Linked DNA regions of Cricetulus griseus. The protein of the gene in region 1 purifies or fractionates together with the protein of each later gene. This does not show direct contact. Links are inferred from orthologs where the notes say so. Each region holds a gene or a part of one and is shown in the gene's direction. Other genes may lie near its edges.

The links.
Region 2: the proteins of Hnrnpc (region 1) and Crnkl1 purify together in Homo sapiens (co-immunoprecipitation; 3 studies listed by BioGRID and IntAct, with this or other methods). This does not show direct contact. The link is inferred for Cricetulus griseus from reciprocal best matches to the Homo sapiens genes HNRNPC and CRNKL1.
Region 3: the proteins of Hnrnpc (region 1) and Snw1 purify together in Homo sapiens (affinity purification with mass spectrometry; 3 studies listed by BioGRID and IntAct, with this or other methods). This does not show direct contact. The link is inferred for Cricetulus griseus from reciprocal best matches to the Homo sapiens genes HNRNPC and SNW1.

Annotation. Positions count from the first base shown.
Region 1 is NW_023276807.1:207,170,653-207,174,401, reverse strand, and holds the start of Hnrnpc (heterogeneous nuclear ribonucleoproteins C1/C2), read left to right. Parts: upstream 1-1,199; 5' UTR 1,200-1,355; intron 1,356-3,749. UniProt on the Homo sapiens protein: Binds pre-mRNA and nucleates the assembly of 40S hnRNP particles. Interacts with poly-U tracts in the 3'-UTR or 5'-UTR of mRNA and modulates the stability and the level of translation of bound mRNA molecules. Single HNRNPC tetramers bind 230-240 nucleotides.
Region 2 is NC_048599.1:33,081,790-33,085,538, forward strand, and holds the start of Crnkl1 (crooked neck-like protein 1), read left to right. Parts: upstream 1-1,006; 5' UTR 1,007-1,130; coding exon 1,131-1,181; intron 1,182-2,745; coding exon 2,746-2,898; intron 2,899-3,431; coding exon 3,432-3,523; intron 3,524-3,749. UniProt on the Homo sapiens protein: Involved in pre-mRNA splicing process. As a component of the minor spliceosome, involved in the splicing of U12-type introns in pre-mRNAs.
Region 3 is NC_048598.1:116,332,210-116,335,858, forward strand, and holds part of Snw1 (SNW domain-containing protein 1), read left to right. Parts: intron 1-2,346; coding exon 2,347-2,508; intron 2,509-3,649. UniProt on the Homo sapiens protein: Involved in pre-mRNA splicing as component of the spliceosome. As a component of the minor spliceosome, involved in the splicing of U12-type introns in pre-mRNAs.

The DNA of each region.
Region 1 (3,749 bases):
CCTTGGCTCCAGATTGCCAGAACGCCAGAATCCCTACCTGTCGGATCCCTCGTAATGCTTACACACACACATAGAATAAATAAAACGTTTAATTTTTTCTTTTATTATTATTATTATTATTTTGTTTTGTTTTTGAGACAGGGTTTTTCTACCTAGCTCCGATGATCTGAAACTCCCTCTGAAGTCCAGGTGGGTGTCAAACTCAGAGATCCACATGCCTCTGCCTCCTGAGTGGTGGGATTAAAGGCGTGCACCGTCATCACTACCTGGCCAAAAAAAAAAAAAAAAAAAAAGCCCCAAATCAACACTCCCAAAAATCAACATCCCCCTTCCCCAAATTTAAATCAGACTTTCCTAGATCTAGTGTATCTCCTTGGGGTAATATCTCCCTTTCTAAGGGGGCTGTATACATTTTGGTGTGCTCAAGGTTCCTCCAGAATAACCAGAAATTCACTGGCAGGCCAGGCCTGAGGGGATTGAGTGGCCGTCAGACTATTGCAGGAAATCGGAAATTGAGGTGGCCGGCCATTCGGTTTGCAGATTTTGCAACCGACTTGGAGGGGTCCAGGTAACAGGAGAGGACTAGGTTTGGAAGGAGCTGTCTAGCCTCGTGGGCTGAGAGGCCACCTCCTCCCGGCAGCTCACACAATGTGGAAATGAGAAGGATCTGAAATTGAAAAAAACTGCAGGTCTGTCTTATCTACACTCCAGGCGGTCTAGGGATTACTCTCTTCCCCACGCTCAGGCTTACTTTGGTTTTCCTTTTCCTAGGCCCGGGGCGAGGGCAGGCCCTTTGCACCCGCTACCAGACTCCACCCAGACTTTACCACCCCCGCGCCGCGGAAATGCAGTGATCAGGGCGGATCTAGGCAGTCCACTAAGCGCCGATAGGCCGACGCGGCGTCAGTCAGGCCCGCCGGTACCCGGATGAGAAGCTGTGCGCGATACAAAGGCGAACATTCCACCCAGTTTTCCGTCTGGTACAGTGGCCAATGACCATCCTTCATACCCTAAGTGACAGGAAGCTCCACCAATTACTAACGAGCTTCGGTGACGCAGGTGGAAATTCTCGCAACTAGACCAACCTACTCCCGATCGCGATTGGCTAGCACTGTGAGGAGCGGTAGCGCCATCTAATGAGGAGCGGGAGCGAGAAAAGGCTCAGCCAATAGGAACGCCCCCAGGAGCGGGGCGGGGCTGGACCTTCGCCTCGGCGGCAGAGGAGCTCGGGGGCCATTTTGTGGAGCGCCGGAGAGCGAACGGTCGTGTGCTGCCTGCCTGCAGTCGCTTCGGAGTCTCCGCACGGAGCCGCAGTAGGAGAGGCAGTGTCTTCTCTCTCTCTCTCCGAACTCTTGGTAAGCGGAGGGGCCGAGTGCAGGGGAGGCGCGGGTTCGTGGGCGCTGCGAGCGGGTGTGGGAGCGAACGGCCTGGCGGCAGGAACGGCGCCCGCGTTGGTTCCCGTGGCCCGGGGACCGGGTCTAAGTCGGGCGGCGCCAGGCCTCGGCTCTGGCGCAGGTTCAGCCTGGTGACCTCCAGGCCGCGGGCGGCGCGGAGGATACCCTGCCGGCGCGCTCGTGTCTAACGGCCACTTTGCCTGCCTTCGACCGCCAGGACTCGGAGAGGGGAGCGTGAAAAGGAAGAAATGCAAGCTTGTTACCCTAATTGAGGTTTAATGTCTTAACGATTCCGTTATTAAGTCTTCTAAGTTCAACGTCGGGCGGGGGTGGCGGAGCGTTACGCTGATGATGTACTGGAAGCTTCCAAATTCCGGGCGGGCCACATGGCATCCGAGCGGCGTGTTAACAATAGATCGAGTATTCATTACTTTTTCTCCCGTAGGAATAAATGGTAGAAGGCGGAGTGTTTTCTGTAAAAGGGAAGTGTCACGGGTTAATTAAAATTGCAATAAAATTGCAACTTACCTTTTAATCTGCAGATTACGAATTACTTGAAATATATGTTAGTGGGACTTTGCTTGAGGTAGGTACTGCTGTCTTGAGAGAGAAACGATAGGTAAATTGGTTGACAGTATTTACTAAATTAGAGCGACTAAGATATTTTTAGGTAGGTAAAGAATACTGGAATACTGTGTACGAAAAAGACAATCGAGTTTTTAGGGGAAGCTGATAGCGAAATTAAAGGTAACCGGAGCAAAACCAAAATAGTCTTTTCCGGATATTCCAATATCCTATCAGTTCTAAACTTGGTAATAAGGAGTTTCCAGCCAGGTGTGGTATTGCATGCCTGTAATTCTTGCATTCCAGAGGCCATGAGACAGGAGGAGGATCAGTATCCATTGCAAGCCAGCCCAGAACTACACAGTAAAATCTTGGTTTTTTTTTTTGTTTGTTTGTTTTTGGCTGTTTGTTTTTAAAACAGAGGAGAGCTCCAAAGCAGTTTTTAAAAAAGCAACCCTCTGGGCCGGGCGTTGGTGGCGCACGCCTTCAATCCCAGCACTCGGGAGGCAGAGGCAGGCGGATCTCTGAGTTCTAGGATAGGCTCCAAAGCTACACAGAGAAACCCTGTCTCGAACCCCCCCCCCAAACTATTAACTCCCAGCCATTTGTTACAGCTGTTGCTAATGTAGCCCAGTGGTAGTGCTTAGGATGCAAGGTGCCCTTAATTTAATCCCCAGCACTAATAGTGTAGGGTGTCAGTTTATCTGGGAGTTAATTTTTTGTTTTAATTTTTATTTTTTGGGGACCTATTTTCTCCCTTTAGCTTTTGAGCCTGTCCTGGAATTCCCTCTTTAGACCAGGCTGGTCTGGTAGAGCCGCCTGCCTCTGTATCCTCCTGATCCTGGGATCAAAGGCCTGCCCCGCCTCCGAGCCATTTGTTTGTTTTTTCAAGGTAGGGTTTCTTTGTATGACTTCTGGCTGTCCTGGAACTTGCTTTGTAGACCAAATCTGCCTGCCTCTGCCTCTTCAAGTGCTAGGATTAAATGTGACCATCACTGCCTGCCAAGCCTCATCATTTTAAGGTGTGCCTTAGAAGTAGAATTTAAGAGTAAGATTTTGCTCTGGTGAAGTGAGAAATGGGTAAGAGAAATAGCTAGGAAGGCATCCATCAAAAATAGTGTTGTAAATAAGTGTCGGAAATTAGTATGCAAGAAGACTACTGGCAGTAGTTGAGATTGGTTAAAAACACCTGCCATTAAATGTTAGACATACAGGCCAGGTATGGTGGGGCACAACTTCAGTCCAGCGGAACTCGCTGATAGCTTATGATTTTGAGGCCAGTCTGGTCTACAAAGAATTCTCAGGCCTGGTGAGACCTTGTTTCCTCTATTTTTAGTCCTTCAAAAGTGTTAGAAATGTGGATTTCTGAATGGGAGGCAGAGGCAGGTGGATCTCTGGTGTACAAAGCTACATAGAGAAACCTAAGTGTTTGTTCGTCTCATTATTTGCTAAAGCTTCATACACTCAACTCATCGGAAGATTTATGGTTTTGAAACTAGATTTACTGGAGAATTGGCTGATTAAAAAACAACGTTCAGGTGTAGTAAAACCACAGGTGTTTCAGTAAAGATTTTGAAAAACTACAGTGGGTATAGGCTCCTGGTTAAGTCTTTACAGTTCTCAAAAGACAAAAGCTGATTTTCTGTTTAAAGTATTCTAATTTGAACAGATTGCTGTGCTCTTTACTACCAGTTTCTAATTGAGTCATAATTGTTACCTAGATTTTGTTTTTTTTGGGGGGGGGTTCCTTGTGTAGCCCAGGCTGTCTTGGAACTAGCTCTGTACACCAGG
Region 2 (3,749 bases), on another chromosome or scaffold:
AAAATTCACCGATGCTGACAATGAACCTCCCTGGTGGGAAATGGATAGTGGAGAGCTCTTTGGAGGTGGGCAAGCAGGGAGCAGGGAAATCTCACCCTCCCTTGAATTTTACTTTCAACCCCAAATTTCTTAAATTTAAAAAATTCTCTTAACTATATGCCCAATCATTCTGTTTTGAAGGTACATCAGATATTATACTTACTAACATCTAGTGAGCACTTTACATAGGCTTTTCAATCTTTTTTTTTGGTTTTTCGAGACAGGGTTTCTCTGTGGCTTTGGAGGCCGTCCTGGAACTAGCTCTTGTAGACCAGGCTGGTCTCGAACTCACAGAGATCCTCCTGCTTCTGCCTCCCGAGTGCTGGGATTAAAGGCGTGCGCCACCACTGCCCGGCAGGCTTTTCAATCTTAAGGAAATAGTTATTTCTATCTTTTTATCGCCAAAGGGCATTAAGGATAACGGAATTGAAATAATGAAAACAAATTCACACACTAAAAATGTACACATCAGTTTCTGACCATAGGGTTAGGTGTTTTGCTACTGACGTATTTCCATCTTTCCTTAACATCTGGTTCCAAAACTACCTCTTTTTATTTAAAAATCCACGTTTCAAAGCTTGGCCCAATAGCGGAGAAGCCAGAGACAGGGTTGGAGGCGGAGGTAGTGGGGTTGGACTACAAAGCCCAGCATGCACCGCTGCTCCGGCAGCTGCTAGCCGGCTGTGGTTTCCTTCGTCGCTCTTCCCTCCTCCACCGAGTTTCCACATCCGAGATGGGCTCCCACGTCCCTCGCAGGTGCCACTGCCACAGATGCACGCATCCCGAAGACAGATCTGGCTACGCCCTCGCCTCCCGGGCCCTGCGACCCTGCGGCGCAGCCCACGATACCCACCTCACCGGCAGCTCCTGCACGCCGTGTGGCTCCACAGAGGACGCGCACACGGTTGCTACGGAAACGACGTGACGTTTCGCCCGACTCGTGCGGCGGTCAAAGAGCGTCTTGCGACTTCCGCTTCCGGTTCCGGGATCTAGTTTGTTGTGGGCAGGTTCTCCGGTGTGGGCTGGTTCTCGAAGCCGATTTTTGAGGTTCAGGAGTGAGTCGGAGTTGCTCCGGTCCAGCGGCTGCAGACATGGCGGCCTCTACGGCGGCCGGGAAGCAGCGGATTCCCAAAGTGGCCAAGGTAGGCGACCGCGAAGGGCCCCAAGCAGAGCATCTGTGGTGTGGTGCACTGGAGACTCGGGGCAGCGAGCTCTTTGCCTGCCTGGGTCGGTGGCGTGGCGCGGGGGTCTTGTCACTCCGAGCTCGTCTCGTGTCTGCCCAGCCTTCGTTCTAGGATGGTGTTTTTGTAACGCGGGTGACCAGTTCGGTTAAGCAAACTCTTAGCTTTGCTAGGCTCTGGGGACCGCCCCCCCCCCAACACACACACACTGCTGGAGTAAAACAAGAGGAAGGGCGAAATGGCAAGTTTGATGGAGGTACTCAGGCACCGTAGACCATGCCATGGGCAAGAACCAGAGGGTTGTCAGTAAACTTGAAGGTAAACTTTGTGGAGGAAGCTGAAACTTGAAAGCTGCGCGAAAGTTGGACAGTGGAGGGGATGGGAGGAATGGGCTCTGTGCAATGGCATAATTTAAGTTAAACGGTAGATTATTATATTTCCAACGGTGACTAATATTTCACCAATGCTTGATAAGTGGCAAGTCGTGCACTTTACCTTTACGTATGGTCTTCTCTTGTCTGATTCTTATACGTGGCCTTTTTATTCTGAGACAAGTTCTCATTTCCACATGTAATTATTGTAAAAGTCTAATGTGGGAGCTTTTTTCCCATCCTGAGTCATAAAAGCCAGGGTGTGCTGGCTAGGTTTTTTGCCACCTTGGCATAAGCAACAGTTATCTGCGGAGAGGAACCTCAGCTGATAAAATTCCTCCATCCGATTGCTTGTGGGCAAGTCTGTAAGGCATTTTCTTGGCTAATGATAGATGTGAAGGGCCCAGTTTTCTCAGGGAGTGCTACACCTGGGCAGGTGGTCCTCAGTACTGTAAGAAAGCAGGCTGAGCAATCAATCCAGTGGGCAGTGTTCCTAAATGGCTTCTGTATCCCTTCCTGCCCCAACTTCCCTTCATGATGGGCTGTGATTCAGTTGTGTAAGCCAAATAAACTCTTTCCTTCCAAGTGCTTTTTTTTGGTGATGTTTAATCACAGCAGTAAAAAAGCAAATTAGAACAGTATTCTTGCACTTAAGGTCCATCTAAATCTGAACACGCTTGGCTTGTACCTACTGTGTTGAACAACAGAGCTGTGTGTGCTCAAGAAGTTTACATGTTAATGACTGGAACTTAATAAGTTACAGTTGACTTAAAATGTCATGGGAACGCCAACTTGTCCACTAAAGGGGTTAAAATAAGTAGGGGAATTCTGTAAACAGGTTATAACGCTAGAGAGTAGTACTTATTTTACTCTTCTAACAGGGAAAAATGCTGCTATTTTGTCAGCTTTTCCTTTTGAGATTTTCACTATGGACTTGTTATCATAGATGTCATACATTAGATAGAAAATGCAGGATGCCCCACCTCCACCCTCCTTCTGTCTCCTGGAGAATTGAGCATGTCATTCAAAGAGGTCAGGTTGTCCTCATACTTACAAAGTTCACATCCTGGAAAATGTTCGTGGGTTTTCAAATCTTGTGTGGAGAACACTACCCAAAATAGAAATGTCTTTTTTTTTTTTTTTTTCCTTAAAAGGTGAAAAACAAAGCGCCAGCCGAAGTACAGATAACTGCTGAGCAGCTCTTAAGAGAGGCTAAAGAAAGAGAACTCGAGCTCCTCCCACCTCCGCCTCAGCAGAAGATCACAGATGAAGAAGAACTAAACGATTACAAGCTACGAAAAAGGAAGGTGAGTCTGTTGGGAGGGCACCGAGCATACCTGTCCATGTCACCACTCACAGTAGGAGCCAGGGCCCAGGAGAGAACTCAGAGAGAGCCCATGTGATTTGACCTCAGGCTAATATTTGGGATTATCTAATCCACTAATATTATGGAAGTTAATGTCAAATTCTGTGAATTACTGAGAGCACTTGAAGGTAATGTTAAAAATTGTTTTCTTCTTAGGAATGAGAGTAGAGTATATTAACGTACTAGTTGTTGTTATGGGCAACAGCAAAAACTACCAATAATTCTTCCAGTAGTTCATTACATCTACAGTTTTTTTGTTGTCTCCATAAACTTTAGAGATTGTATAAATAGTGATATTTATAGTGATAATAATTATAAGATAGTGATTTGTAACCATCTGTAGTGAGCTTCGTTTCTCAGCATCCAGGATATAATTTCTCTTAAAAAGAATGAAATGAGTGACTTTTATTGCAAGGCAAAAGGCGAAGTCATTTTTGCTTTAATATACTACCCTACCCCCATTTTGCCTTTCAGACTTTTGAAGATAACATAAGAAAAAATAGGACTGTGATTAGTAACTGGATAAAATACGCACAATGGGAAGAAAGTCTAAAGGAAATTCAAAGGTAAAATTGCCATGTGTAGTATTTGCATATAAAATAGTATCAACTGTCCTGTGAAAAAGTAGGAAAAGTCAAGCATTGGACTGTACTGTGTTTGAACCTCCCAGCTTCTGTTCTGTGGCATCTTCACATTCTTCTGCGGGTGCTGAGGACACTGGGAAGGACAGCCACGGAGTATCGCAGGAGGTTCTGTGTGTGTGTCTTGCCACTAGTACCCCTGTAACTAAAG
Region 3 (3,649 bases), on another chromosome or scaffold:
GGCTTGGTGGTCTGTGCCGTTAATCCCAGCATTTGGGAGGCCAAAAATCTCTGAGTTTGAAGCCAGCCAAGTCTACATAGTGAGTTCCAGGCCAGCCAAAGTTACATAGTGAGACCCTTTGGGGGGGGGGGTTATTAAAAAAATACAGAGCAGGAGGATATGCCATTGCTCAGAAAGTCTTGGCTTTTGTTTTCTTTTCTTTTTAACTAAAAGAAAGTTATTTCAGGGTATTTAAAAAGACAAAGCTTGGCTGTACCTGGGGAGACTGACTCAGTGGGTAAGAGCACTTGCTCTGTAAACATAAGATGAATTTGAATCCCCCATCACTCACATAAAGAGCTATAATCCCAGCATTTGAAGGGCAAAGGCAGGTAGATTCCAAGAGCTTGCCAGCCAGCCTAGCCAGCAAACTAGAGAGTTTCTGGGTCCAGTGAGAGGCTCTGTCTCAAGGCAATAGTGTGAAGAGTGGCAGGTGTACATACCTAATATCGTATTCTGGCCTCTGTATACATGTACCTGGGTGCATGCCCCTGCACACTGGCATTTATATCACACACCCACATGAGATAAAGCTTTTTGGTGTCCAAGTATCTGGATTTGTATTCTGCATATATGCTAACTAAGCCTGGCTAACCTAAAATCTGCTGGCCTCAAACTCCCTGATACCCTCCCGCCTCTTCCTCCCAAGTGCTGTGGGTTTGCCACCTCTCCTAGTACTAATATTTGTGAACTTTAGTTCTTTCCTTATAAGAATGCTCAGGTGTGAGTTAGACTTGAACAACAGAGGCTTTTAGAAATATTAAACACTGATGAATTATTGGCAGAATGCTATTCTACTTTAAAAACTGTAGTTCTCATTCTTGTGATGATTTATAATCACCGTTAGAGTTGTGTGCTGAGTGGTCACATATGTGTCATCCCAACTGAAGCAGGATCACTTGTGCTCAGTGATCCTGGCCAGCATAGCAGAATTGCCTTTCTAAAACTCACCCTCTGTGCTCCATAAATTTCATTCTTCAAATTTATAAGACAAGAACCCCAAAGCAGCTGGTTTGAGTGGGCCAGGGTTTTGTAAAGTCAATGGCCTTTAAAGCCATCCCAAGCTAGTGGCTTTTGGGTTCATGTCTCATGGTGAGTTAAAAGCGTTTTGTCGTAGAGCTCTTAGAGAAGGTCATGCTAGCTCCTGAGCAGGAGGGGTCATGTAGCTAATAAAGCTTTACTGGATGGAGGTGTGAGCTGGCCAGTCCGAATAGAGCCCTCCTTTAGGGAAGCAGAAATAGGGGGAAAAAATGACTTTCCAAAAAAAAAACCTCTACTCTCAGGTTTTTGTTTGGGTTTTTTTTTTTTTTCCCTAAAACATCATGGTCAAATTCTATGCCCTGTTCTTATCACAAGGACATGACTGGTGACTCATTCTGGGTCCTTTCTGTCTTACCTGTCTCTAGTATAATAATGAAAAAATGATGTGTTAACAGGATCTAATTCTAAGCATTTCTTGACATTTCTCCTAGGTTTAGCTCCACCTGATGCTCTATGTATGTCTGTGTATAATCCTAAAACTAGTCTTTGGTTTGTACTAAAATTTTTGTTTCCTGTGGTCTCCAGGAAATTCTGAAAAATATTGGTACAATAGGCCACCTGCAAGCTATATGTGGGCCTCTTACATAAAATTCGTATTCTTTGAGACAGGCGAGACAGCCCCTCTGTTACTTATTTGTCCATTGGCATCATCTCCTCTGTCCTCCAATAGTGGATAGTCCCACGCTCCATTCCTGGGGAGTTAACATCACTTGTTGCTTTCCTAAGAGGACACTATTCAGTTTCCTGCACCCCTGTTCTAGCTTAGGGACTCTGACCCCCTCCTCTAGTCTCTGCTAGCGCCTACACACACACACACACACACACACACACACACACACACACACACACACACACACCCACCCACCACCCACCCACCCACCCACCCACCACCCACCCCTCACCCTCTACCTTACTAAAAAAGAAAAAGAGAATGCTTCCCTCGGGTCTTCCTTTGTTTGCTTTCTCGTCATTGAGGCTTTCCCTTGTGTGATTTCTTTACATAGGCGACATGTCTCACACACAGCCACTCTTCTGAAAGTATGAAAGTACCTTTTCCCAGGACCTATATGATCTTCATGGTACTTCCTGTACCCTATACCTGAAGAGTGTGTTTTTATACCTTTGCCCACTAAATATAAACTTCACAAGATGAAAACCTTGGCTTTGCTTACTGCTGTCACTCACACCTAGCATAGATTCCATAACTTGAATGAATTGCTACTTACTACTAAATATTCTTTTTACTTCTTTTCTTGTAATATACAGGATTTTGGAGATGGAGGTGCTTTCCCAGAAATCCACGTGGCCCAGTATCCACTGGATATGGGGCGAAAGAAGAAAATGTCAAATGCACTGGCCATTCAGGTGGACCCTGAAGGGAAAATTAAATACGATGCAATTGCTCGACAGGGGCAGTCCAAAGACAAGGTAATCTCATTGGTTTTGTGTATTTTTCTTGTTGATAAATTTTGTGAAGTTTTACATTTTGTGGAAATGATACATCACTTGTCATTTTGGATTATATAAAAATAGCAGGGAGGTTGGGGCTGGAGAGATGGTTCAGTAGTTAAGAACACTTGTTCTTGTAGAGGACCTGAGTTCAATTCCCAGCATCCACATGTAACTAGAGTTTCAGAGGCTCTGATGCCCTCTTCTGACCTCCAAGGGCACCAGGCACACCTGATGCACATACATTTATGCAGGCAAAACATTCATAAGCTTAAATAAGTCTTAAAAAAATATAGCAATAAAGTTAGTGTTCTAACTGATGGTAGATCACCTGCTTGGTGTGCACAAGGCCTGGGTTTGAGTCGAGCAGCAAAATCAAAAAAGTTGCTATAAAATATATAGCTCTAAAACATTCTTTATTAACTTTGTGACCAACAATGACACTATGCCTTGAAATTCTGCACAAATTGGTAATAGCTATTCTCCCCTTTAGAACAGTCCAGGCTGGCCTTCACCCTCCCAGTTCTGCAGGCCACATCTAACACGATAGCTTTCCTACTTATGTTTTGTTTGTTTTATATTTCAAAAAGTTATTTTGTATTCCAAAATTGCTACCAAACTTACAAAAGTCAATAATGCCACAAATGTGCACATAAAGTAAATAAAATATTAAAAAAAGCTGTATTTTGCAAGTAGTATATTCTTATGGTAAAAGAAACCTGTGGAGAACCAACTGTGGTGATGCACACCTTTAATCCCAGCAGAAGCAGGCAAATCTCTTGAGTTCCAGGCCAATTTGAGCTACATAGAGAGACCCTGTCTCAAAAAACAAAACAACAACAGAAAGATACCCATTTATACGTGGTATTCCTTGCTTTCCTGGTATTTTATTTGCCAGGGGTAGCAGCTGTAACTGCAGTGATCTATGTCTTTCCAGATTTTGTTGTGGCTTAGATTGTTAAAACTGAACTGTAGAACTTGGGGTTTCAGTATGTGGCCAAAGAAAGTTTCCTAAAAATTGTCCTTTGCATATAATAAAGGTCTTTTGTTTATAATGTGGCCACTGAAATTAAACCCAGAGCTGGTCATTTAGAGAGGTCACTCTTCCGGTCCATACAAC